7 linked regions of the Oryctolagus cuniculus genome follow. The protein of the gene in region 6 purifies or fractionates together with the protein of the main gene of each other region. This does not show direct contact. Links are inferred from orthologs where the notes say so. Each region holds a gene or a part of one and is shown on either strand. Other genes may lie near its edges. The genes, in order: SNAP29, NAPA, PTTG1IP, NAPG, VAMP4, STX7 and SNAP23.

Region 1 (3,500 bases), on a different chromosome or scaffold from region 6:
TGGCTTCTGGCTCCGTATCACACAGTTCCAGCCATTGCAGCCATCTTGGGGAGTGAACCAGGGGATGGAAGATCTCTCTCTCTCTGCCTCTCCTCTCTGTGTAACTCTGACTTTCAAATAAATAAATCAATCTTAAAAAAAAAATAAACTAAATGAACATCCTACCTTTCCTGTGGCACAGGTTGAGCATCCTAGCCTGAACACCTAAAATCCTAAATGCTCCAAAACCCTAAACCTTTTTAGAAAAAGATTGATTTATTTATTTGCAAAGGTAGAGTGGCAGAGGGAGAGGAAGAGATTTTCTATCTGTTGGGTCAGTCCTCAAACGACCAACAATCAGGGCTGAGCCAGGCTGAAGTCAGGAGCCAGGCTCTATGTGGGTCTCCCAGGTGGGTGGCACAGACTCCAGTACTTGACTCGCTGCATCTCTGCTGCCTCCCAGGAGCATTAGCAGGGAGCTGGATCAGAAGCAGAGCAGCCAGGACTTGAACTGGTGCTCCATCATCGGATGTAGGTGTCCCAAGTGTGGCTTAACCTGCGGTGCCACAACTCCTGCCCTGCCCCCAATCTGAAACTTCTTGAGCGCTGCTGAGTTTTAGATCTTGGAGCATTTTGGAATTAGGAATGCTCAATTGGTAAAGTCTATGCAAATATTCCAAAATCCAAAAAAAACTAAAATCTGTAACACTTCTGTCCCAAGCATTTCTGATGAGGGATACTCATCTATAATTAAAAGCAGCCAAAGAAGGCCGGCGCCGCGGCTCACTAGGCTAATCCTCCGCCTAGCGGCGCCGGCACACTGGGTTCTAGTCCCGGTCGGGGCGCCGGATTCTGTCCCGGTTGCCCCTCTTCCAGGCCAGCTCTCTGCTGTGGCCAGGGAGTGCAGTGGAGGATGGCCCAAGTACTTGGGCCCTGCACCCCATGGGAGACCAGGATAAGTACCTGGCTCCTGCCATCGGATCAGTGCGGTGCGCCGGCTGCAGCACGCCAGCCGTGGCGGCCATTGGAGGGTGAACCAACGGCAAAAAAGGAAGACCTTTCTCTCTGTCTCTCTCTCTCACTGTCTACTCTGCCTGTCAAAAAAAAAAAAAAAAAAAAAAAAAAAGCAGCCAAAGGAAAACCCAATTCTGTTATGAGAAAGAGTGACAGGGATTTAAAGTTAGGGTCGGGGCCGGCATTGCAGCATAGCAGGTAGGGCTGTCACCTGTGATGCTGACATCGCTTATGAGTGCTGGTTTGAGTCCCGGCTCCTCCACTTCTGATCCAGCTCCCTACTAAAGCACCTGGGAAAACAGCAAAGATGGCCTAGGTAATTGGGCCCCTGCACTCACGTGGGAGACTCAGATGAAGTTCCTGGCTCGTGACTTGAATCTGCCCCAGGCCTGGCTGTTATGGTCATCTCGGGAGGGAACCAGCAGATGCAAAATCTCTGCTTCTGTCTCTCCCTCTTTCTCTCTTTGTAACTCTGCCTTTCAAATAAATGAATTAATAAATCTCAGAAGTAATTAATTAAAATCAGGGTCAAGCTGGAAAATCTGCGCGAAGTGGTGGTTGGGCCTAAGCCAGACAAATCAACCCTGGTGCATCTACGGGAGTAGCCCCAGGGCATTGCAGAGGCCTGCTTTCCTCCCTGCAGTGTCCGATCCAGACGCCCGGAGCCTCCCCCACCTCTTCTCTCTGCTACCATTACTGGCTCTTTACCAACATTCCTTTCTTCCCAGACCCACTCAGCTTCAGGGAAGACTACAGCCCGATACAGCAGAGTGCTGGTTTGAGGACCAGCTCCTCTGCTTCAGGTCCAGCTTCCTGCTGAGGCTCCCAGGTGGCAGCAGACAACGGCTCAAGGCCTTATTGCTCTGCCACCTCTGTGGGTGATTTGTATGGAATTCCTGACTCATGGCTCCAGCATGGTCTAGCCCTGGCTGTTGTGGGCATTTGGGGAGTAACCCAGTGGATGGAAAAATCCCTCTATGCCTTTTGTATTATTTTTTAAAATATTTGTTTTTATTCATTTGAAAGAGAGTTATGGAGAGACAGAGAGAAATTTTCATCTGCTGGTTCACTTCCCAAATGGCTTCAATGCCTGGAGCTGAGCAAATCCGAAGCCAGGAGCTTCTTTCGGGTCTCCCACGTGGCTACAGGGGCCCAAGGACTTGGGCCGTCTTCTACTGCTTTCCCAGGCACATTAGCAGGGAGTTGGATTGGAAGTGGAGCAGTCAGGATTTGAACCAGTGCCCATATGGGATGCCAGTGCTGCAGTCTGGGGCTTTATCCTGCTGTGCCACAGTGTCTGCCCCTGTATCTTTTAAGTAAATGAAAATAAATAAAAAAGTGAAAAGCAATGGGCAAATTGAATTATATGTAGAACACCTGGGTGGGAAAAATGACTTTTTAAAGTACAGATACTGCTGGGGCCAGCTCTGCAGTATAGCGGGTTAAAGCCCTGGCCTGAAGCACCGGCATCCCACATGTGCGCCAGTTCTAGTCTTGGCTGCTCCTTTTCTGATCCAGCTCTCTGCTACAGCCTGGGATAGCAGTACAAGATGGCCCAAGTGCTTGGGTCCCTGAATCCACGTGGGAGACCCAGAAGAAGCTCCTGGCTCCTGGCTTTGGATTGGCACACCTCTGACCATTGTGGCCATCTGGGGAGTGAACCAGCGAATGGAAGACCTCTCTATCTGTCTCTACCTCTCTCTGTAATTCTGTCTGTTAAATAAATAAAATAAATCTTTTAAAAAAATAAAGTACAGATATTGTGTAGGGAGTCCCTTACAGCCTGATCTAACTTTCTGAGGTGAACACTCTCAGTACTGGGGTGACAATCAGTATAGCAGGAATTTACTGGAAACCCAACTTATGCACAATCTGCAGACTAGGTGCCAATCAAATACATATAATCAGGCGTGGGAAGATGGGTTAACACAAAACCCTCCTGAAGTATAACTTACAGGCTTCCTGAATCCCCTCATGGCTCGGCCAAGGCCTGGAAGTCTTCCGTTCACGCCAAAGCCCACTTCTGCTACACTCACCTGCTGTTGGGCTGGGGGGTGCCGGTGCCATTCTGTTCAGGGGCCGCCTCTGCGGGTTTGGATTTGAAGTAATTGACAAGGCCCCCGAACATGCTCTTAATGCTGTTGATGTGCTTCTGGCTGGTCTTCAAATCTTGGTCCATCTTGTCCACCATCTTCTCCGTGCGTTCTAAGACTCCTCGCTGACGGACGAGCTCCTAGGAAAGACACGTGGCAGTTATCCTTCTGGTAGTTCTCCCTGGCCCATGAGAACCACATGTGGGTACTCCATAAATGCGAAGCACATGTCGGGGCAGACGCTGTCACCTGTGAAGGGCACGTCATCATTTTTTGCTTAAAAGATTTATATTATTAATTTGAAAGGCATAGTTAGAGAGAGAGTGAGCACTTCCATCTGGCTGGGTCACTCTCCAAATGGCTGCAACGGCTGGAGCTGAGCTGATCTGAGGCCAGGAGCTTCTTCTGGGTCTC
Region 2 (4,138 bases), on a different chromosome or scaffold from region 6:
TGCCTATTGCTTTACATCCGACAGCCTAAAACACATGACAGCTTGGTACCGGTGCTGCTTGGACAGGCACGGGACCGAAATTGCCTGTGGCGATCCAGACAGACGTCCGCCGAGGCTGTGGTCCGCACACAGCGGCCGCCACAAGCAGCGGCTCGGGAAAGCGCTTCCTGGAAGAGAGCTGGGCGAGAGGTCGGCCTGCCGTGCCCTGGTCAGTCAACCCCAGCCCCGCACAGCACTGCGCGTGCACACGCCGGTCCCATGCTGGGCGGGGCTCTGGAAAGAAATGGACTCCTGTGCCTCGCAGGCTCAGAATGGGGATCGCGACAGGGCGGGCCCTGCAACCTGACTCTGTAAAGCAGCTTTTCAGAATAGGTTCCCAAAACTCCAGACCCCACAGCTTCCCCACGCTTGCCATTAGGCTGGTACCTCTGATGCAGTGAACAAGCCGATCTGGGCACCGTGTGGCCGGCCAGCGTCTGTGCCCTGACTTCTTGAGGTCAATCCGACGCCACCCTGCACTGAGCAGCCGTGGCCCCCTCGGCTCTTACTAGGGAAGGGGAGCAGTACTAAAAATCAAGATCAAGACACCAGGCAATGCTGGAACCGCCGGCAGGCAGACAGCTTGACTTGCGGCCAGCGGCCAGGTCGAGCTCCCTGCCGGACGGCTGGCCGGGGAAGCCGCCAGGACGGAGGGCCCACGGCGAGAGGGGCCCCCCGCGGCGCCAGCAGCGCCCCACGCTCTGCGCGGCCCCGCGGCTCAGACTGGCGAGTCCGGCCCCTGGGAAACAAGCTCCGGGGGCGACGCCTCTCGTTCTCTGCCCCGTCCCTGCGTCCCCCTCTCGCCTGAATCTCGCACGCGCGGCTGCAGGCGCTCCCATCTGTCAAGCACTGCACGGGCCTCCCGCGCCAGTTTCAGCATCGGCCGGCAGAGGGCGCAAGAGAAAGCAGAACGCTCCCCTTTTTTCCCACTGAGGCCTTTTCGAGTGAAAGGAACCACGCGAGACAAGGCTTAGAGGCGGGACTAAAACACCGAGCAAGAGAACTGTCAAACCCAGGCGTGCGCCGGAAGTTGTCACGTGACAGCCGCCGCTCCAGCTGACCCGTGCCCAACTTCCGCAAGGTGGGGCGGACCCGAGCAGAGAGCGGCTGCTGATTGGTGGAAAGGCAAATACTGCGGCAGCACTTTGGGGGTGGGTCCCTGACGGTGAGGGCTACGATTGGCTAGTGCGGCGTCACGAGGTGGTGGGTGCGGAGCATCCGGAAGAGAGGCGCAAAACAGGTGGCTACGCATGCGTCGAGAGTCACGGGGCGGTGCGCGGCGGCCTGCCGGGGCGTGGCCAGCGGGGAGCGCGCCGCGCTACGAGGTCCCTGATTGGCCAGTGCCAGTCACCTGGTGCCCGGCCTCGGGCGGCGCGCGCCGGTGCGACGTCAACGCAGCCAGCTAAGCTCCCGGGACCTGTGTACCGCGGCCCGGCCGGGCCTGAGTCCTCCCAGGGCCCGGGTCGGGCGGTTCGCTGAGTTCGCTCTGCGGCCGCCATGGATAACTCGGGGAAGGAAGCGGAGGCGATGGCGCTGCTCGCCGAGGCGGAGCGCAAAGTGAAGAACTCGCAGTCCTTCTTCTCAGGCCTGTTCGGGTAGGAACCAGGCCGAAAGGTCGGCCGGGACCTGGGCTGGGGGCCGCAGGGGTCACGGCCTGGGGTGGCGGGGGAGGCGCGGTGCGGGGGCCGGTTTCCAGGGAGAGGGCCGAAGGGGCTTGGGCTGGGGACCCACGGGCCCGGGCGACCACCTCTTGAGGCGGGGAAGGGGATCCAGGCTGAAGACGGGCTCAGAGGCCAGCGGAGACCTGGGCGAAGGGGATACGGGCAGTGGCCTTGGCGGGGACCAGCCGCGGGGGCCAGGTTCCAAAGCCTTCTCAAGCCCTCGGGGGATCTGTTTGAGGGGTCGCGCCGGGGCCTGGGGCTGGGGCCACCTGCCCAAGGGGCTGACCTTCCCGAGCCCAGGCAGGGGGCTGCTGCGTAGCCCTTCGGTAAGGACAGGGCTCGCACAGGGCCTGAGGGCTTGGGGACAGGACTAGCGGCTGCCATGCGGCAGGCGCCCACGGAAGTTGGCGGCAGCTCAGGGCCGGCCGCACTGAGGGGCTTTGGGGTGCGGCTGCCGCTCAGCCCGCGACCTGGGTGAGTTTTAATCTCCCCGACGAAGGGGTAGCCAGTGAGAGCTGTCTCCTCCCCGTCGATAGCCGGGCGGCGTTGGGCTGGCGGATGGCGAGCGCTCCGAAGTGGTGGCTGGCAGTGTTGGGAGTGCCCTGCAAGGAAAGAGGTGTGCGGTGATGGGGGCTGGTAGAGAGCCAGGCGGGAGCCGGGGAGCGGCTCAGGAGCCGAAAGGGGCAGGGAAGGCCTGCGGACCGCGGGGCTTAGCGGGGTCAGGGCACGGGCCGGGGAGGGGTAGCGGAGGTCAGCGGGAAGCTTGGGGGGTCAGGGCACGGGGCCGGGGAGGGGTGGCGGAGGTCAGCGGGAAACTTGGGGGGGTCAGGGCACGGGGCCGGGGAGGGGTGGCAGAGGTCAGCGGGAAGCTTGGGGGGTCAGGGCACGGGGAGGGGTAGCGGAGGTCAGTGGGAAGCTTGGGGGGTCAGGGCACGGGGCCGGGGAGGGGTAGCGGAGGTCAGCTGGAAGCTTGGGGGGTCAGAGCCGGGGAGGGGTAGCGGAGGTCAGCGGGAAGCTTGGGGGGTCAGGGCACGGGGCTGGGGAGGGGTGGCGGAGGTCAGCGGGAAGCTTGGGGGGTCAGGGCACGGGGCCGGGGAGGGGTAGCGGAGGTCAGCTGGAACCTTGGGGGGTCAGGGCCCAGGAGGGGTAGCGGAGGTCAGCTGGAAGCTTGGGGGGTCAGGGCCGGGGAGGGGTAGCGGAGGTCAGCTGGAAGCTTGGGGGGTCAGAGCCGGGGAGGGGTAGCGGAGGTCAGTTGGAAGCTTGGGGGTCAGGGCCGGGGAGGGGTAGCGGAGGTCAGCTGGAACCTTGGGGGATCAGGGCCGGGGAGGGGTAGCAGAGGTCAGCTGGAACCTTGGGGGGTCAGGGCCAGGGAGGGGTAGCAGAGGTCAGGGCACGGGGGCCGGGGAGGGGTAGTGGAGGTCAGCGGGAAGCCGCTGAGGCCGAGCTTAGGACGGGGAATGGGACTGGGGTTTGCTGCAAGCCGGGGAAGGGGGTCTGGGAGGCGGGGGGGGGAGGGTCTTTCCAGGAGACTGAGCCTGCCCTTGCTGCTGGAGGTGGGATAACAGCAAAGGAAAACGTCCGGGTCCTCATGGGTTTTGTTGTAGACTGAGTGGAGACCGTGTGTGTGCGCATGCGTGTGTGTAATTCAAGTGCGCTGTTCTGAGGGTGGCTGGTGGTGTCTGGTGCCCTTGGCCCAGGGTTAGGGCCCCGCTGGGCTGCACCGGGGGGGGGGCGGGCAGCTAAGCCAGCCTGGGACAGGCTGCTGGGTTGGGATGGGGAGCGCGACACTTGGCGTGGACTAGTGAGGCTGGGTTGTTGGTTGTAAGGTGGGCTGGGTGATGTCCTTCAAAGCCTGCAGGACTCGGGCGGACGGCGCCTGGCATGAGTGCTGTGAGCAAAGGCCTCACCTGGTGACAGGGACGGCCAGGGGTGGTCTCCCTCGGGCGTGATGGGCCATCGGGGGAGCCGTGTGCTGCGGAGCTGTGAGGCGCGGCCTGTGAAGGTTTAGTGCAGGGGGTTGGGGCTGGGCCAAGGTGAGGCCACGAGCGAGCGAGGGCCTGGACTTGAGCCGAGCCCGAGAGGAGAGTGCTGGGTCTGAGCAGCGACTGGGGACGCTGCCGCCCGTGCTTCCTGACGCCGGGCCTGGCGCTTCCGTCCTCGCCAAAGCCCCGTGGATAGCGGAGGCCTAGAGACATCGCCGTAGGTGCTGGAGCAGCATGCGCTGCCCGGCCTGGCGCTCACTCTGCCCTGCCGTGCCGCAGCGGCTGCTCCAGGGCCAGGGCCAGGGCCGAGCCCCCAGAGCTCTGCAGTGGGGAGGGCGCGGCACACCAGGTCTCGGGGAGCTGCCGCCCTCTAGCCCCTCCCCCCCAGTCTTCCACGGGAGAAAGGAAGCAGCTTTGGGGCCTGCGCTGCCCCGACGCTGGCACCCCGCATCGGGG
Region 3 (3,500 bases), on a different chromosome or scaffold from region 6:
GTGACATGCGGGCTCCCGGACTCGTGGAGGGCTTGAGCAGCGTTGGGAGAAGCCTCGAAACTTCTCTGCGTCACCTTCCTAACAGCAGCCGTTCATGCCTGAGGCAGGATGCCTGGGGCCCTTCTACACAGAGTGGTTGCCATGGTCCCCACGTGACCCCCCCCCCCCACACACTCAGGGCCAGGCCCTCACGCAGACAAGGTGTGATGCACACAGTGTGTGCCTGGGGTGCCAGGGTGTGGAGCTGCTCAGAAGCCAAGCAGTGTGGTGAGGGCGGGCCCTGCGGCGGCGGTCTCGGGAAGGCTGCTCGAGGCAGAGCAAGCAGACTGCAAGCGGGGCCTGGCAGCTCGCGGAGGCTGTGGCCTTGCTGGGCGAGGCGACCTGGAGCTCAGCTGTAGGGCGTTGACTGAAGGGCAGTGAGGGTGAACGCAGACGCACTGGGAGGCCACGGCATTACAGTGGCCCGGGGGAGAGGGGCGGCCGTGCGCAGAGGCCGTAGGAGCAGTGGGTGGTGCTCAGGTCCTGGCCATTCTGCTGCTTTGTTGATCTCTTACAGTGTCTGTGGTGCAACACTAACAAGGCATGTCTGGACTACCCGGTCACGAAAGTCCTGCCACCTGCTTCTCTCTGTAAACTGAGTTCTGCACGCTGGGGTGTGTGCTGGGGTAAGTTGTTGTGTTCATTTGCTTCGTCAGTGCCTTCTTTTCTTTTTTTTCCTGAAAATTCTGCAAATCACAGTGAACTTCTGCATGCAGATACAGGTTCTCCCCACTCAGAGCAGACTGTGCAGGGCATGTCCAGCACTTCCGGAAGAGCCTGATAGCCTGTTCCCGTCAGAACCTCGGGGGCGGCCACTGTGCTGACCGCCCGTCACTACGGAGTTGTTCTGCTGTTGACTCTCATAGAAAGAAAACTCTGCCCGTCGCCCTTGACCTCACTGTTCCACACAGCTCTGGTTAGCCTTACACGGTTTGCCGTGCAGGTCTGAGTGACTGTACCAGTCGTGTTCTTCAAGCAGTGTGGGGCATCCCGCTGCCCCACCTCCTCCCGTCTCAGGGTAGTCAGCCGTCCCAGCTTAGACCATCTAGGGAGTGTGCGGTCCCTTCTCACTGTGGTTCTGTTTTGCATTTCTCCCATGATTAATGATGTCGACTGCCTTTTACGGGGATAGGTGTTTTCTGTGATTCTCATGTGGATGAATCCCTACCCCGAGTTACAAGGATTGCCAAACATGAATCCAGCCTTGCCCAGATGAGATTGACAGCAGTCTGTCATAGTTGTTCGATGTGTCCCGCATGGCCGTAGCCCAGGAGGAGGACACGTAAGCCACACAGGAGAAGCAGTCAAGGATGTGAGTGCAGCTCACAAGGACGGGGTGCCCCCTCATCCCAAGTTTGGTTGAATCTGAGGGCTGAGAAGGAACCAGAGCTGTGCTCAGGGGTAGGGTGGCCCTGTGCCTGGCCCCGCAGTAAGGAAGGAGGGCTGTTTGGGCCCCTGTCAGCGGGAGCTGAATGGAGGATCTTGGGGGAGCCACTCAGGGCCTTCCTGGTTTCTCCAGAGGTCCAGGTGCCACCTACACAGGGTGCTTCCTCTTACAGATGATTTTGGAATCATTGTATCCAGTTTGAAGCAGATATGCGGAGGTTTTATTGCAGGAACTTCAGTATGCGCTCATTCGGAGAAAAGGGAGCCCCTTTCCATGTGCCTCTTGTTCAGAAGCCAGTTGTCGCCTCTGCGCTTCCGTTTGGCCTTTGCATTCCTTGGTAGAGATTCTTGCGTTTTGGCCTTGCAGGGTGAACACAAAAGGGGCCCCTAGTTTTGCTTCCCATTGTGACAGGACTTCTTTTTTCTTTGATAACTAGTGTCAGCTGCTAACCGGAAAATGTCACTGATCTCATCGGTTTTTAGAATTGCTTTTTCTAGAGGGCTCTAGAAAAGTATGCCGTCTCCAGTGAAGGGCTGCTTTCTGTTCACGCCACCACCATGTCTGCTCCAGTGAGGGCCTGCTTTCTGTTCATGCCACCGCCATGTCTGCTCCAGTGAAGGCCTGCTTTCTGTTCATGCCACCACCATGTCTGCTCCAGTGAAGGCCTGCTTTCTGTTCATGCCACCGCCATGTCTGCTCCAGTGAAGGCCTGCTTTCTGTTCATGCCGCCGCCATGTCTGCTCCAGTGAAGGCCTGCTTTCTGTTCATGCCACCACCATGTCTGCTCCAGTGAAGGCCTGCTTTCTGTTCATGCCACCCCCATGTCTGCTCCAGTGAAGGCCTGCTTTCTGTTCACGCCACCACCATGTCTGCTCCAGTGAAGGCCTGCTTTCTGTTCATGCCACCCCCATGTCTGCTCCAGTGAAGGCCTGCTTTCTGTTCACGCCACCACCATGTCTGCTCCAGTGAAGGCCTGCTTTCTGTTCACGCCACCACCATGTCTGCTCCAGTGAAGGCCTGCTTTCTGTTCACGCCACCGCCATGTCTGCTCCAGTGAAGGCCTGCTTTCTGTTCACGCCACCGCCATGTCTGCTCCAGTGAAGGCCTGCTTTCTGTTCATGCCACCACCATGTCTGCTCCAGTGAAGGCCTGCTTTCTGTTCATGCCACCACCATGTTCTGCAGCTTCCTTTGTACGAGCAGGTCAGAGGAGGAAAGGCATGATTTTAAAGCTCAAGCAGCATTTGATCAGGTGTGACACTTCTGCTGATTTGAAGACGAGGTTAGAGGCTAAAAATGCGCTCAGTGCGCAAGTAGCTCCCAGGAGGGGCATCTTCACAGCAGGCCTAGTGGGTGGACTGTGGACGCCCAGAGCACTGGGTGTCAGCCTCCCTCCTGCTGAGGCCAAGTTACCTGAAAAACTTCACTTTCCAAACCTGCCGCAGCTGAGAGAACAGGAGGCTAGAAAGCATGGCTCTGTGTGGTGGGAGATTTTAACTTTGGAATCGTCCGTGGACCCGCTGCTCAGAGGAAGTTTGCTGTCGGCCCTGTCTTCTAGAAGATGCTGTAATGGCATTGAAAAGCATATTTGCAGAAGCAGCATTTGAGGGGGTTGGCGCTGTGGAGTGGCAGGTAAAGCCACCGCCTGCAGTGCTGGCATCCCATATGGGTGCCGGTTCAGGTCCCAGCTGCTCCACTTCCCATCCAGCTCTCTGCTGTGGCCTGGGAAAGCAGTAGATGGTGCCCCAAGTCCTTGGGTCCCTGCACCCATGTGCAAGACCCAGAGGAAGCTCCTGGCTTCGGATCGGCACAGCTCTGGCCATTGCAGCCATCTAGGGAGTGAACCATCAGATGGAAGACCTTTCTCTCTCTCTTTCTCTACCTCTGCCTGTCTGTAACTCTACCTTTCAAATAAATAAGTAAATCTTTAAAAAAAAAAAAAAAAAGGGGGGGCGCAGCATTTGGAATGAATCCAGCTCTGCTTTGAATTGAATAGAAAAATCTTAATGGGTTTTAATTTGTAGCTCTTGAAAAAGATTGTAAAACTTGTATTCTATCTGCATTTGTAGTTCTAA
Region 4 (4,012 bases), on a different chromosome or scaffold from region 6:
CCCCATCTCATCATTTCCCATCAGGCCCCATCTCTAAACACCAAATAGAAATGAAGCATCTATTCTACTTGTACCATTAGCATAAGACTTTGGGGACTAGACTGTTTGAGAGGATAAACATTCACATCATAGCAGTGTATGCAGGAGAGAATGGCTAATATGATAAAACATGGACTTTGTGCTGGGTAGAGAGGGAAGTATACGAGCAGAAGGATGGGAAAATGGGATGGGATGTGTTGAAGGTGAAGTCTCATAGGCAGCAGAATGTGGGGGCTGGAATGACAGGAGGGTGGAAAGTGGGCTGGTTGAAATTGACACAGTGAAAAGCAAGGGCAAGAATATGACCTGGGGAACAGGTGGCTGAGCTGGGGTGATGAAGGAAGGATGCTTATGCATAACTGCCCAATAGTAATTATCACAACAGACTGCTGGAACCACGAACTTACCTGGGTAGGGCACTGCCGCCTCTCCCAGCAAGTACTTCTGCAGACAGCCACCCAGCAATGGCCCTGCCTCAGGCTCACGACTATCTTGTTACCAAGCACCGCGGTGCAAGATTATTGTTTCAAACCTCTGATGTAATCCACTTCATTTTTTGCCTTTAAAAACTTCCCCTTGCCTCAGTCTCTGAGCATGCCCATAAGTTGCCTACGGGCTGCATACTCCTATTGCAATGCTCTGTTAGCTTCAAGTATCAACATTCTCTGCTGTTTGTTTAGCTCGGTTGGAAACGGAGAAGCTGAATAGGCATTAGAGGAATCACCCGAGTGGGCACTGGACTCACCATGGATTATGAATGGAGCCAAGAGTAGTACTCACTACTGTTTTTACTAGGCTGTCTCAAGCGACCCTTCCACAGTTTGGAACACGGGAGTGAGTCTGTGACAGTAATCAGGGGTTACAGTCTGTGTTGCTTATTGACTGACATTTAACTGATGCTCAACAGGCAGAATGGGTGAACAAAATTAATAGGATTCCAGCTATGGCACACACAAACTTCAGATCTGATAACCAGTCCCCTAACTCTACAAACACAATGCACAGGTTTTCCCATGAGGGCAGGGTTTTTGTTGTACTCCCTACTGATCTTCCGAGGCCTGCAGCAGTGCCTGTTTGGTCAACGAACAAACATGCCCCCTGCAGTAACTCCACCACACTGCGCTAAAGCTCCGGGGCCAAGCGAGCCCCCGTTCTGCGCCTGCGCGCAGTCTCGGCGGGAGCGCGGGCTTGGCTTCCGGCCGCACTTCGCCGCAGTAGATTTGAGCCCTCCGGCCCTCCGTTGCGGCGGCCGTGTCGCGCTGTCCCGGCTTCCTTCGCGGTGTTCCCACGCCTACTCGGCCCTGCTTTCTCGGGGCTCACGGAGGAGGCGCCGTCGCCCTCCACGTCAGGGATCGGGCGGTGCAGATGGCGGCTCAGAAGATAAACGAGGGGCTGGAGCACCTCGCCAAAGCCGAGAAATAGTGAGTGAGGGACCCTCCCGTGGGCTTCCCTGGCGGGGTCCTCGCACCCGGCGGGAGGGCACCGGGACTGGGATCCGCGGCTCGCTGACGCCCAGGACGCTGGCGGGGGCTCTGGCCGGGGCCGGGCGCTGCGCCTGGGGATCGAAGGTCGCCCGACAGCCGGAAGTCTTCGGCGCGCGGATCCCGTGCGGTGCAGAGCGGGCTCCCGGTGCGGAGTTCGCTGCTTTCCGTCCAGCCAGGGTCTCTGACCGCGGCCCTCGGGGCAGGGTGGCTGCCTGGGTGGGGGCTGGCGTGTGCACTGTGGCACGTTTGGCAGCGTCCCTGGCGTCTGTCTAGTCAGTGCCAGTAGCACCCCCCGTCCCCTTCCCTCCTTTGCGACAACTCAAATATCCCTGGGGAGCGAACTCTTCCTGTTGAAAACCGCTGCTGTGGAAGAATCCCAGAGTTATGGAGGGGGCTGTAGATTTGTCCCGAAAATCCGTCTGCAGACCCTTCTCATCTGCCAAGCCTACTGCTCTGGGAGCGACAGCTGTGCCTTTTCTCCCTTTCTGTGTCGGTCCTGTCGCCATACGGGTACGGTACACAGTAGGCGCTCAGCTCCTGTTGGTGGAACTGCATTGATTCTCCTTAACCAATCCTTTTGACCTCACACCCCTCTCCCCCAAAATCGTCACTGCAGCGAATGTTTTAATCTGGCATTTCTCCATGCTGAAAAACCGCCACTGTGGGCTGGGGGGTGCTTCCATTCATAATTTGCTACTTCGAGACAGCTTTCCAATTGGAGAGTCTCCTTTTACCGCTTGCTCAGGCTGTAGTGTTGAAAGATGGATGAGCCAGTTTTCAAACTGGACAGTTCAAGCGCTTTCTGTTCCTCCATGTTGCTTCCAGGCCCGCGGTCCTGGGGCCGTCTGTTCAGGAGGCCCCCACAACGTCTTTTTTTTTTTTTTTTTTTAAGATTTATTTGAAAGCGTTACAGAGAGAGGTAGAGACAGAGAGAGAGGTCTTCCATCCGATGGTTCACTCCCCAAGGGCTGGAGCTGCGCTGATCCGAAGCCAGGAACCAGGAGCTTATTCCAGATATCCCATATGGGTGCAGGGGCCCAAGGACTTGGGCCATCTTCCACTGCTTTCCCAGGCCATAGTAGAGAGCTGGATCGCAAGTGGAGCAGCCGGGACTCGAACCGGTGTCCATATGGGATGCCAGCACTGCAGGCTAGGCCTTTAACCCGTTGAGCCCCAGCACTGACCCTGTCTCACTTTTCGGCCATTGGAGGGTGAACCAATGGCAAAGGAAGACCTTTCTCTCTGTTTCTCTCTCTCACTGTCCACTCTGTCTGTCAAAAAATAAATAAATAAATAAAAATAAAAAAAATAAAAAAGTATAATTAGAGTGGTGTGTATGTGAGAAGGACCATAGTACAGCTTATTATCTATGAAGAGTTGGGGCCAAGTATGAAGGGATGGCCGTGAACCCTAACTTTTCTAGGCAGTGAATAACCAGTGGGCCTGCTTAGCTTTGGTTTTGATGAAATAAATATGGGAGCATTGCAGGGCCCAGGGCAGCTGTGGCGTACTCAGTAGGCAGGGCGACAGAGTTGTTTCTCTGAACCCGCGCCAGCCGCTGGGGGATGCTGGAGTAAGCAGAAGTAGCCTCTCCCTGGAGAGCTCAGATGCACAGGAGGGTAGGTGAGTGAGCAGTTGAGGGAAACAGGTTTCCAGCGCTAGCGGACAACCTTCCATGGGGAGGCGGAGATACGTGGCAAGGAAGAGCTGGAGTGGGGGAGAAAGGCGGGGCTGTTAGCTCCGCCTCCAGGTGCTGTGAGACCCATCCGTGGGCTGTGTTAAAGTAATGGTCCTGGGGCCAGGATCCAGGGACATTTAGTCACCGTAATGACCTGCTGGGGTATGGAGGTGAAGCTGGCACCTGGGTTTAACCTGGGAGATGGAGTGAGGAGGGTGCCTGCTGTGGTAATGGGTATAGGTGAATGGGCCCAGTTACGGGGAGGCTGGGGCAGGGAGATGCTGGATTCAGGCTTGATGTGTTATGCTTAAGTACCTTTAGTTGCTCAATGGTGGCAGAAAAAATGGGTCAGGAGCTTAGGAAAAGAAAATATGATTTTTCTCTGTTTTCTAGTGATGATGTAGTTCAGTATTACTGAGTAGTTTTATACTGAATCATCCCAAAGGCAAGCATTTGGGATAACACTTAAGATGCAGCTCGGGACCCTGGCATCCCATATCAGAGTACCTGGTTCCCGACTCTTCTCCCGATTTCAGCTTCTTGCTGATAGGAACCTTGGGAGGTGGCAGGTGATGACCCAAGTGGTTGTGTTCCTGCACCCACCAGATAAAATTCTGGGTTCCTGCCTTCATCCTGGCCCAACCCATGCTCTTGTGGGCATTTTGGAGATTGAACCAGTGAGGGGAGAACCTCCCTTTCCCCCCTACCCCCACCCCACTTCAAATAAGCTAAATTTTTAAAAGTCTTCCCAAATTTGTGGTGCTTTTCCTATAGAAACTATCAATTTCCTATTGACTCTTAGGACAGAACG
Region 5 (3,500 bases), on a different chromosome or scaffold from region 6:
TGTAGGATCTCTGTCCTTAATGTGCTGTACATTATGATTTAATGCTATAACTAGTACTCAAACAGTATTTTATACTCTGTGTTTCTGTGTGGGTGCAAACTGTTGAAATCTTTACTTAATATATACTAAACTGATCTTCTGTATATAAAGAGAATTGAAAATGAATCTTGATGTGAATGGAAGGGGAGAGGGAGTGGGAAATGGGAGGGTTGCGGGTGAGAGGGAAGTTATTGGGGGGGAAGCCATTGTAATCCATAAGCTGTACTTTGGAAATTTATATTCATTAAATAAAAGTTAAAAAAAGAGCAAATAAAATATTAATTAAGACAAAAAAAAGAACTGTGATGCACTTTATTTCTTATTTTAAATATTTCATTGTCATGTTTACTCATAAAGAAATTTAAAACATTTTTTTGTCTTGTGGCTGGAGCAACAGAGGAAAACTAGACACTTAAAATATTTAAACATTTCTGTTTTGGCGTGCTCTGAATGAAAGTTGCTAGCTAAGTATCAGTTTTTAATTTTTAAGTTTTGGCTAAACCTTCATTGCCCACACCATAACCTAATTTAACAGAGGAAAACATTTTTATTTGGAAGGACAACAAAAACATTTTCCTCTTTGCTTCCTGGTTGGTACTTCAGTATATTCCTGGGTGTTCCTCGTTGTCTTGAGCCCTGTTTGTTTTAGAGAAAAGTGACAAGTCGTGAAGAGTTATTCTCATTGAGCATCAGTGTCTCCTGGATTATGCCTTCCATTTCCATTTTGGAAACTAGATTTTTTCCATAAGCTTCTAACACACCTAGACAAACTACTTTGTTAGCCTTTGTGTGTGAAGTCTACAGCAAAAGTCAGTATGGCTTTACATGCTCCCTGGAGAGCCCACTGATGAGCAAATGAAACTGATAATTTAGGTTTAAGCTGTTGGACTGAATTCTGCAGTTGTTGAACATTCTGACGGTACATTTAATTTGATTATGAGTTACATTACTGGTCAGAAGCAGAACAATAAATAAACTGTCTCTGAGTTATATCACAGTGTCTGTAAGTATCTGAGTATCAAGCCCACAAATGGAAGAAAATTGCTACAAAGCTTTAAACTGAAGTTTTATAGTTTAATAGTTTGTTATTCTCTATCCTGTCTAATGAAAACTTAAAAATTATAAACATTCTCAAAGAATAATTTTTATCTTTTTTTAAACTAGTGTTCAGAATCAGGTGGATGAAGTTATTGATGTCATGCAAGAAAATATTACAAAGGTAATTGAAAGAGGGGAGAGACTAGATGAACTACAAGACAAATCAGGTACACAAACTTCATATATTTCTTGATATTATTAATCTATGTTTCTGCTAGTTTATATCTTCTCCCACTTGTGTAGCCAATGTTTAGGGATCTTGGCTTGAGATTGGCATTTGACTCCATTTATTTTGAATCAGTTAACTGTGTTCTTTAATTGGTCAGTTGAGAATGGAATATTTTATAAATACCTGTTGAGTGAAGAGTAAAGCTATTTTTCCTTTGCTCTGTTATTTTGATATGCTTTGAGTTTCTCATGGCATAAAAATCTTAAGGCATAAAAATCTAATAACTTTTTCCCAACCCTTATTTTAAACTTCAGTGATTTTTTTAAAGATTTATTTTTTACTTGAGAGTCAGAGTTACACAGAGAGAGGAGAGGCAGAGAGAGAGAGAGAGAGAGAGGTGTCTTCCATCTGATGGTTCACTCCCCAGTTTGCTGCAACAGCCGGAACTGCGCCTATCCGAAGCCAGGAGCCAGGAGCTTCTTCCAGGTTTCCCACTCAAGTGCAGGGGCCCAAGGGCTTGGGCCATCTTCTGCAGCTATCCCAGGCCATAGCAGAGAGCTGGGTTGGAAGTGGAACAGCCAGGATTAGAACTGGCGCCCATATAGGATGTGGCGCTTTAGGCCAGGGCATTAACCCACTGTGCCACAGCGCCAGCCCCGATATTTTTAATTTATGTTTTTTTCTTGCAACTCAGTAACTTCCCTTTATTAACAGATGTTAACCTGTATAGATGTAACAGTTCCTCACACAAATTAGTCACTTGAATGGTAAATGGTTGAATACTTGATCAATCCTTGACAGGTTGAATACCTGATCAATCCTTGACAGGCTTGCTTAAACAAAAACCTTGCTTAAGCATTTTTCAAATTCATATTATTTTCCCCCAGAACTATTCACTTTCAGTATCTTCTAAGAGTTAATCCTTTCCATATGGAATTTATTTTTTCTAGAGATGTGCCAAGTATTTGTATTTTTAAAGAGTATTTTCTTACCCAAATTTATTAGTTTATTTATAAGCATGGAAGTCCTTGGAAGATTTTTCTTAATTTTACAGTAAAAATGGATTGGACAAAGTAACTTGCAACTGTTTTTTACCTTTTGTTTCTATTTTTAAACAATGTAGTATGCTAGAGTGTGTGGGTGGAAGAAAGGGAGAAAGTTGTTTTCATGCTTTTTTAAAAGGGAACACATTTGCATATGTAGAAATTTAATATTTTCTTATCTTTGTGTGACTAGATAAAAGAATCCTGTTATATCGTTTAATACTTCTCTCCATCCTCTATGTGATATAGAAAGCTTATCGGATAATGCAACTGCTTTTAGCAACAGATCCAAACAACTTCGAAGGCAAATGTGGTGGCGTGGATGCAAAGTAAGTGAATCAAGATAGTGGATAGATTGGCCAACATCTCAAGTGTGTTCAAAGATGTGAAGAAACTGGGACCTTAGAGCATAAGTTTCATGAAGACAGGACTACTGCTGTCTTACTTATTGTGTCTCCTGAACTTGAGACATGTTGGGAACTCAATAAATATTTGTTGAATTAATAAATTACTTTTGAGACAGATATAAGTAGAATAATCAAGCAATACCTACAAAGATGTTTATGTCAATTTCTTCATAAAATAATCCCCATTTTATTAATAACTACTTCTAAACTTACTATCTTAACAAATATACATTTTTCTTATAATTTATTTTTAGTTCTTATTGGTGCAACCTATAGTATATAAGAGATGTTAAAAAATAAAAGTATAACTAGAGAAATATATGATTTTCCATTGAAAAAGGGAAGGTAAAAGCAATTTGTCAGAATCAGTAATGACAAATGGGTTAAGAGAAAGTCCCCAAATCCCTCATTATGCAGAGAAAAAAGAAATAAATGAATTTTTTAACACAGAGAAGATGAGAATTACAATATGCTGCAAAACATTTCATAGAAATTAGTTCATCTCTTAAATCAAATATGGTTACTAATTATTAAACACCAAATGTTTCTTTTAAAATTTTGTAGCAAGTTTCATATCATGAGAGCAAATCCTTTTTTCTCCTGATTCTAGGTATGATTTTGGTTTTGTTGAAAGTCTTAGACATAAGCTCATTGCTTTTATTCTCTCATTTTCAAGTTTAGCAATAACTTTGTAAACTCACCTTTCCATATGCTAAGGAGATCTTCCGAAAGTTGTCTTGGGTT
Region 6 (4,157 bases):
ACTATAAACTGACCTAAAAGGTTATGAACTTTGCATACAGGTTAAATTGTTGCCAAGTTTTTCAAATGTTTGCTTTCCACATCTGTTTTCAGGACCTAGCTCAAGCTGCTACTGCCTAAAGCACTCTTATGGAATCCCTTTCAAAGTCCATTTAGAATTCCTAGTTTCATTCCTCAGACTGACAATTACATAACATTATCTGGACCTGCACTGTCTAACAGAGTAGTCACAAACTCCATAAGCTATTAAAACTACAATTAAGTCAAAAGAAAAATTCAGCCCTGAGTCATAACAGCAACCTCTCAAGGGTTCAAAGATTGTATGTGGCTAGTGTCCAAAGCCCAGACAGCTCCTGGACCGTCCACTTCCATGCTTGCAGCAAGTTCTGCGAGGATGATGCTGATCTCACCTCGGTAATTATCTTTGTGGAGATATACGAGGTCTGGGCACTACAAAGAGAAAAAGGGGCAGGGTAGATCAAAGCGCAGCACTCATAACGAGTCTTCTCAGACTGCTTCTAAAGGAACAAAGGGAATTTCAAAATGGAACCCTGGGTGACAAACACTGTCCTCACTTACCAGTGGCCATGCTGCAGAACCTTTAAGATTCCAGTAAGCATAGATCTTGTGTTCTTTAAATCTAGGCTGGGCAAAGAAGTGGTCAGTTTCACTTTCTCAATCATCAGCACCAGCATATAATACTGAATTTCTTTGCAGGTTGTGCACCAATACATAAGTTCCCGGAGTCATGGGGGTGATAACTTGTGTGTGTGTATGTGTGTGGACTGTTTGATTTTCAGAATTCAGGTACATAATAGGTGCTCAATTAATATTTGTAGAACAAATGAATAAAATGACCATACTTCTGAGAGACATGGACCCATCCTGAGGGTATATATAAGGGGTCTTCAGAAAGTTCATGGAAAATACCTATCACAAAAAATTTATGCGTGAATTTCAAAAACGTTTTGCACCAAAATAAACTTATCTTTTCTTTCTACTTCTACATAAGCATTCTGATGTACATTCACACTTCCATTTCTAAAGCACTGGATTCCAAAGCCTCTTTCAGATCCCAAAAGGATGCCCCAAGGTTATGGTTGTCTTGTGCCTGATGCCATTTCCCAACCTTGGAATGCTCTTTCCCGTGATCTGCACGGGACAGGCTACTTTTCCCAGGAGTTATCTATCACATGCTAGAGAAAGCCAGGCCTGATGTGAGAATTCACCACTCCTGCCACTCTGTCATTCTCTCTCAGTGCTCCCTAACACTCATCACTATCTAATTATTTAATTGGCATATGCTTATGTCTATCCTCATCTTTGGAACACAACAGATATCCAACGTTGTCATCTTGTGGTACGTGTAGTACCAGGTGCACAGTAGATGCTCAATGAAAGTGAGAGCGCTCACTACGGCTTAGTAATCTCTACACCTGCTCAACAGAGGCATTCCTCAAGCCACTACCTCCACAGGATGAGCCATTACACTACTCAGTGTTAGTTCACATTACCAAGGGCTTTGTTTTCACTTTTCCCACATTAAGCTTTCAAATTACATGGAATCACAGGAAAGCCTCACTCAGACTTACTGCAGATATTTTATATAATTTAATTTTCAACTACCAGTACTTGGCTGAAGTTTGGGAACATAACTAAAATTAGAATTGACTTGTTATCTGCAGCATAAGTAAAACATCTGAAGGAAAAATGACATAAACTTTGTAGAAGTGAATGATACTCATTAGACACTTTCAAACTACAGCCCAATTTCTAACTTGTCACAAGGCTGAGGCTGATCCACAACACCAGATGCAGATGTAGTGGAACATTTTTTCCCCCAGTCTCTGCCCAGGTGCAGCTCAGAGCAGAAGGAACACCCACCTCCGACATTACTAAACAGTACAGCATTTCATAATTACTTCCTTTTCTTCCAGATTCCGGGCAAGATTTAAATTATATATAACTGTGTCGAATACAGTGATCGGAGGTACAAAAAACGAATACACAAGTGTAAGAGCCAAGCAAATGTCAGAAATATGAGAGAGAAAACACAGCATTTGATCATAAAAGCAATGTTCCTATTAACCCATTCTGTCTAAATTTAAAGAAAGAGAGGGGTATGGAGGTGCTCGGAATTCTTAAAATATTGTGATTTCCAAGGCCTTAAAAATGTAATAAAAAGAAAGTTGGCATGTCAAAGTCACCAAAGCCAAACACAAAGGGCCGCTGAACACACGTCTAGGGTTTGTCTACCACAAGCATTTGACTCTCGTGCCCCTGTTTTCGGGAAGTTTCAAGCATGTGTTTGTCGACCCGTAAGTTAAAAGGAGGAAGAGGTCTCTTGTCTGTTCTCTCCAGCCTCGGGAGCGCAGCCCTGGGCGGCTCCAGGCGGCTGCCACCCGGCAAGCGCCGGACTGGCGGAGCTGGCGAGGCCGGCCGAACCGCCTCACCTCGGCCGCGAGTGCGGGTCCAGCGACGGGCCCGGGGGGCTTGGGGACGGCCGGCGCTCCGGGAGCACGGGCAGCACCCGCCCTTCGCCTCCCGCGAGTCTGCCGCAGAGCTCAGGGCGGCGGCCGGCGGACCAAGCGCACAGAGCAGGTGGCAACGCTGCAGGGACACCGCGACTCCGGCCGCCCAGCCAGAGCCCCCTGCCCCACGCCTCTCTTACCCTGACCACTTCGGCTTCCTCCTCCTCCAGCGGCCGCTGTCACCCCGGGGCCCCACAGCCCCCAGCTGCAACTCTCAGCTGATGGGCGGCGGCACAGGAACACCCACTGCGCATGCTCCCAGTGTAACCCGGAGAAGAAGGCGAGGCTAGAGGGGCTAGCTCCTCACCCATTGGCTTTAGGGACTGAGTGACAGAGAACCTCTCCCGCCCCCTCTGGTTCACAGCGAAGGAATGGAAGCGCCAGCAAAATTGCAGGGGGCAGTTCTTTGAAGGCGGGCACACAAATGGTGGAAGCCTTAGCCTGCATACAGAAGAAAAGAGGAGGAAATGGAGGGTATTCGTCTTCTTCATCCCATGAAGCCAACCCCCTGGACTCGTGCCTTCACCCCGCCCCCGCCTTAGGCTCTTCCCTGTCTCCTTTCCTAACCTTTAACTCCGCCGTAGACCGAATGCACAGCTCCATTCGAAAATGCAAACGCAGATACGCCATCCTAGCAGGAACAATGAAGGGACAGGGGAACACCCCGGGTACTCACTCAGTGGACTAGCTTTTCTTGATCACGCAAGTCAGTCCAAACATCCTTGAAAGGCAAGAAGCAATCTTCGTGGACTTTAAAATTGGAAGAGAATGTTCCAATAATAAATATTCAATAGGAAGTATTACCTGAAAAGCATCAGTTGCTTCAAGTGAGAGAAATACTTTACTAAACTAATTAGAAGATACAATGGCTTGGCCTTTGCTCCTATCAAGGCAACATTGTTTTCCAAAAAGATCATAAGATTAAGTGAGAAGTCTAGGGCTACTTAGAAAAGCAAAACAAAACACTAAGCACAAAGTGTTTTGAATTAGTACTACTTAGAAAATTCTAGGCTGTTTGGTGTTATACATGCACATGTATATCCCTGAATACATCAGGACTAGTCTTTACCTCTGTGAGATGGAAATAATACAAAGAGATGGGCTTGCTGGCCAAGTAGAGGGCACACCCTCACCTAAAGGCAGTGTGATTCAGATATGACCATTGTGAATGTTTGGGAATATTGGCCAATAAAGTCAAATTGTCTGCTTTTCGGGATATAGTGGAAATTCTATTTGTGTGTGTATGTGTGTGTGTGATATGTGAAGTTTTCTTTTTTGATGTTCTCAAATTGTTATGAAACATTCTCTGATCAGACAAAGTATGTGTTTGAACTCAAATAGTAGGCAGCAGTGACAGCCCCTGAAGCTGGAGAGACCCTTGTGGAAAATCTAGTGCCACTTCCTCATTTCATAGATTAAAGAAACCGAAACCCAAAGAAATATGAAAATCACAAATTATGAACAGCACAGGTCCAGATAGCCTAATTCAGAATTTAGAATCTTTCCTACTGTTTCATTCATTCAGAAAATGTTCATTGAGATCCTGCCACATGCCAAGTACTGCAGATGTCAAGGTAAGTAGGATGTAGTATTTTCTTCAAAGGAGCTTAAGGAGTGGAGGTCCTTC
Region 7 (3,500 bases), on a different chromosome or scaffold from region 6:
GCCACAACAGTTGGGGCTGGGCCAGACCACAGCCAGGAGCTTCATCTGGGTCTCCCATGTGGGAGCAAGGACTCAAGGATTCAGGCCATTCCACCACTTTCCAAGCACATTAGCAAGGAGCTGGATCAGAAGTGAAACAGCCAGCACTTGAATTGGTGCCTTTATGGGATGCTGGCATTGTAGACAGAAGCTTAACTCATTATGCCACAGTGCCAGCCCTAATCAATGGGATTTTTGATAAAATAAAACAGAAAAATGTCCTTATCTGTTATAGACCTGGATCTTAATGAGAATCATTAGAACCAAATCATAGAATCTCAGCTGGAGCTACACTAGATCTAATCCACACAGACTGAAATAACCTTCCCAAAGATCTCTGTGACAGATTCATTACCACCCACATCAATATCTGAATTTAAATGATGAGTAATATGTAGCCTAAACCTAGACCACAACATTGAAAGTACCTTATGAACCATTATTTGCTTCAATGAAATCTAGCAAAAGTGGTTGGATAGCAAAACTTAAAAACTCACCCCATCCCTTAAAGTAGTCTGAGATTTAAATGAAGTATGATCTTTAGATGTGACATATCCAAACACTGAAAATAATTTTACTTTCAGTATCTTTTTGATCATGTGAAGTAAAAATGAAAAATAAAATCTATTTTCCATTAATCATATCACTCTTGTATGAATACTCCACAAACACCATCCTGCAGAAATGATATTTGCTACTAACACTTTCAGGAGGTGAGGATTCAGGAACTTATTAATTTATTAGTTAAAAAAAATAAAATTTCAAAAGTGAACTTATAGGGGTTGGCACTGTGGTGTAGCAGGTAAAGCCACTGCCTGCAGTGCTGGCATCCCAAATGGGTGCCGGTTTCAGTCCTGGCTGCTGCACTTCCAATCCAGCTCTCTGCTATGGCCTGGGAAACCAGTAGAAGATGGCCCAGGTCCTTGGGCCCCTGCACCCACGTGGGAGACCCAGAAGAAGCTCCTGGCTCCTGGCTCCTGGCTTCAGATGAGTGCAGCTCCAGTTATTGTGGCCATCTGGGGAGTAAACCAGTGGATGGAAGACCGATCTCTCTCTCTTTCTCTCTCTCTCTGCCTCTCTGTAATGCTGCCCTTCAAATAAATAAATAAATAAATCTTAAAGGAAAAAAAGTAAAAAAAAAAAAAAAAAAGTAAGAAGAAAAAAAAAAAGCTACAGGCTCCTGGCTTCGGATCTCCCCAGCTCTGGCTGTTGCGGTCACTTGGGGAGTAAACCAGCAATGGAAGACCTCTCTGTTTCTGCCTCTCTGTAACTCTGCCTCTGCCTTTCAAATAAATAAATATTTAAAACAAAAAAGTGAACTTATTCAGGGTTTTTAAAAAAATAAATAAAAGCACCATCAAAGATAATAATAGTTTCATGTATGAAGTCATTGCGATGCCATGCTTTCAAATTAACCAACTGCCATACAAGAGACAGGAAGATGTGGCTCTTGTTTATCAGTGTGCTAGAAAATGTTGCCTCATCAAAACTGTAAGTCCTAGGAGGACAAGATCTGCTCTAATTGTTTTCCCCCAAGTATCGAGCACAGATGTCCACTATCAAAACAAATTGGTTCATTAAATAAAAGTTAAAAAAAAAAAAAAACAAATTGGATGTCTCATTTTCTTGTGGTCATAAAAAGACTTTACCTTTTCTGTAATCCGGTCTATTTGTCGATTTTGAGCTTCAATCTCATTTCCCATGTCCAGGGCCATGTTCTTTAGATTTCCCAGGATACTGCCCACTTGAGTCAGGTTCTCTTCCATTTCATCTTCTCTGGCATCATTAGTGATACTATGATAAAAAGATAGTTAATTATTTCTGTCCAATTAAAATGGCCTAAGTCTGGATTTAATTTTCATAAAAATATTCAAGGGGATGTAAGTTACTATTCTTGGGGTTTACTGAATAATAAAAATTGAAAGACTGATCAAGGAGAGCACAGCTTGTTAATACCATGGAGGAGAAGATTAGAAAACAACTATAGAACAAGAACAGTATTTCTCAAAATGTGATTCCTAGCATCACCTGAGAACTTGTTAGACACAGGATCACACTAATTCTCATACTCAACCTCTAGTTCTACTGCATCCCTGCAATCTATATTTTAATAAATCCCTCCAGGTAATTCTAATGCATGCTTAGGTACAATGAACCACTGCTCTAAAAGAGGTATGAAAACTACGGCTAAAAGGCCAAATCTGGCCTGCGATCTGATTTTGTAAATAAAGTTTATCCAGGGGCCAGCACTGTGGTGCAGCAAGTTAAGACAGCACTTATAATGCCTGCATTCCATATTAGAGGGCCTATTCAAGGCCTGCATCCCATCCTATATTACAGGGCCAATTTGAGTCCTGGCTGCTGTACTTCATATCCAGCTCCCTGTTAATGTCCTGAGAAGGCAGTGGATGACAGCCTAAGTGCTTGGGTTCCAGCCACCCATGTGGGAGACCTGGATAGAGTTCCTGGCTCTTGGGTTCAGCATGGCTCAGTCCCAGCCTTGAGGCAATTTGGGGAGTGAATGCATTAGCAGGGAGCTGGATCAAAAGTGGAGCAGCTAGGACTTGAACCAGACTCCAACATGGGATGCTGAAAACAAGCAGTGGCTTAACCTGCTGTGCTACATGCCAGCCCCCAAAAATAAATCATGCTCATTTGATTATGCATGCTATGTGGCTATGTTCTATAGCAGCAGAGCCGAGTAACTGCAACTGCAACTGTATGAAGTATTTACTGCCTGACCCTTTACAGGAACCCAGCCGGTCCCTGCTCTACATGATACATATTTTTCCATCTACAGAAGTAAAATATTACTCCAGTAACAGTCAAGTACTGAAAAGTATAAGGAGAAATTAATTCCATCATCCACAGGCAACAACCACAGTCAACGTTTTTGTCACAGGCAGATTCTGAAATATATTTCAAAAATGGAAAAAGCACTATTTCTATTTGCTAAGTTAGGTTCACGTGAGAGATTAGAAAGGCGCAGACAGAGGGAGGAGCTGGCATACCGTTTAATGTATCCACCGCTGGCTGCCCCGGTGCTTGGTTGCTGAGGCTGACCATTTGTTACCCGGCCCGGCTGCTTAGACACCACATTGCCAGGCGACTTGTCTCCACCATCTCCCCATGTTGTCTTGTAGGCCTTACTAGACTCAAAGTTCTTCGTCCTATTAAGAGTCAGGAATACGGAGATACCAAAAAGCAGGAGAGGGACAGTTGTAATAATTAGTACTGTTCATCTTGAAGAAGACCCTAAAATCTAGCAGAAAAGCTGATATTGCTGAATCTATGCTTCACTTCATGGCAACATGGGATAGGAAAAAGATGAATTAGTAAACCCACTGACATCAAATCATTTTTAAAGGGCCCAGATAGTACTTCTGTCAAATCTTCACTAAGCTGTTAGCAAGTTGCAAACTGCAATCATTTGATTTTCTCAGGTTCCCTTGGCTTCTGGT

The links.
Region 1: the proteins of STX7 (region 6) and SNAP29 purify together in Homo sapiens (affinity purification with mass spectrometry; 3 studies listed by BioGRID and IntAct, counting the BioPlex papers as one, with this or other methods). This does not show direct contact. The link is inferred for Oryctolagus cuniculus from reciprocal best matches to the Homo sapiens genes STX7 and SNAP29.
Region 2: the proteins of STX7 (region 6) and NAPA purify together in Homo sapiens (affinity purification with mass spectrometry; 4 studies listed by BioGRID and IntAct, counting the BioPlex papers as one, with this or other methods). This does not show direct contact. The link is inferred for Oryctolagus cuniculus from reciprocal best matches to the Homo sapiens genes STX7 and NAPA.
Region 3: the proteins of STX7 (region 6) and PTTG1IP purify together in Homo sapiens (affinity purification with mass spectrometry; 3 studies listed by BioGRID and IntAct, counting the BioPlex papers as one, with this or other methods). This does not show direct contact. The link is inferred for Oryctolagus cuniculus from reciprocal best matches to the Homo sapiens genes STX7 and PTTG1IP.
Region 4: the proteins of STX7 (region 6) and NAPG purify together in Homo sapiens (affinity purification with mass spectrometry; 3 studies listed by BioGRID and IntAct, counting the BioPlex papers as one, with this or other methods). This does not show direct contact. The link is inferred for Oryctolagus cuniculus from reciprocal best matches to the Homo sapiens genes STX7 and NAPG.
Region 5: the proteins of STX7 (region 6) and VAMP4 purify together in Homo sapiens (affinity purification with mass spectrometry; 3 studies listed by BioGRID and IntAct, counting the BioPlex papers as one, with this or other methods). This does not show direct contact. The link is inferred for Oryctolagus cuniculus from reciprocal best matches to the Homo sapiens genes STX7 and VAMP4.
Region 7: the proteins of STX7 (region 6) and SNAP23 purify together in Homo sapiens (affinity purification with mass spectrometry; 3 studies listed by BioGRID and IntAct, counting the BioPlex papers as one, with this or other methods). This does not show direct contact. The link is inferred for Oryctolagus cuniculus from reciprocal best matches to the Homo sapiens genes STX7 and SNAP23.

What each region holds. Positions count from the first base shown.
Region 1 is NC_091452.1:29,626,593-29,630,092, reverse strand, and holds part of SNAP29 (synaptosomal-associated protein 29), read right to left. Parts: intron 3,227-3,500; coding exon 3,030-3,226; intron 1-3,029. UniProt on the Homo sapiens protein: SNAREs, soluble N-ethylmaleimide-sensitive factor-attachment protein receptors, are essential proteins for fusion of cellular membranes.
Region 2 is NC_091449.1:10,127,484-10,131,621, forward strand, and holds the start of NAPA (alpha-soluble NSF attachment protein), read left to right. Parts: upstream 1-1,338; 5' UTR 1,339-1,536; coding exon 1,537-1,634; intron 1,635-4,138. UniProt on the Homo sapiens protein: Required for vesicular transport between the endoplasmic reticulum and the Golgi apparatus. Together with GNA12 promotes CDH5 localization to plasma membrane.
Region 3 is NC_091435.1:1,731,988-1,735,487, forward strand, and holds part of PTTG1IP (pituitary tumor-transforming gene 1 protein-interacting protein), read left to right. Parts: intron 1-556; coding exon 557-665; intron 666-3,500. UniProt on the Homo sapiens protein: May facilitate PTTG1 nuclear translocation.
Region 4 is NC_091441.1:67,737,920-67,741,931, forward strand, and holds the start of NAPG (gamma-soluble NSF attachment protein), read left to right. Parts: upstream 1-1,212; 5' UTR 1,213-1,404; coding exon 1,405-1,460; intron 1,461-4,012. UniProt on the Homo sapiens protein: Required for vesicular transport between the endoplasmic reticulum and the Golgi apparatus.
Region 5 is NC_091438.1:26,827,091-26,830,590, forward strand, and holds part of VAMP4 (vesicle-associated membrane protein 4), read left to right. Parts: intron 1-1,203; coding exon 1,204-1,304; intron 1,305-2,598; coding exon 2,599-2,678; intron 2,679-3,500. UniProt on the Homo sapiens protein: Involved in the pathway that functions to remove an inhibitor (probably synaptotagmin-4) of calcium-triggered exocytosis during the maturation of secretory granules.
Region 6 is NC_091436.1:36,549,354-36,553,510, reverse strand, and holds the start of STX7 (syntaxin-7), read right to left. Parts: upstream 2,801-4,157; 5' UTR 2,671-2,800; intron 1-2,670. UniProt on the Homo sapiens protein: May be involved in protein trafficking from the plasma membrane to the early endosome (EE) as well as in homotypic fusion of endocytic organelles. Mediates the endocytic trafficking from early endosomes to late endosomes and lysosomes.
Region 7 is NC_091443.1:65,560,024-65,563,523, reverse strand, and holds part of SNAP23 (synaptosomal-associated protein 23), read right to left. Parts: intron 3,210-3,500; coding exon 3,051-3,209; intron 1,834-3,050; coding exon 1,689-1,833; intron 1-1,688. UniProt on the Homo sapiens protein: Essential component of the high affinity receptor for the general membrane fusion machinery and an important regulator of transport vesicle docking and fusion.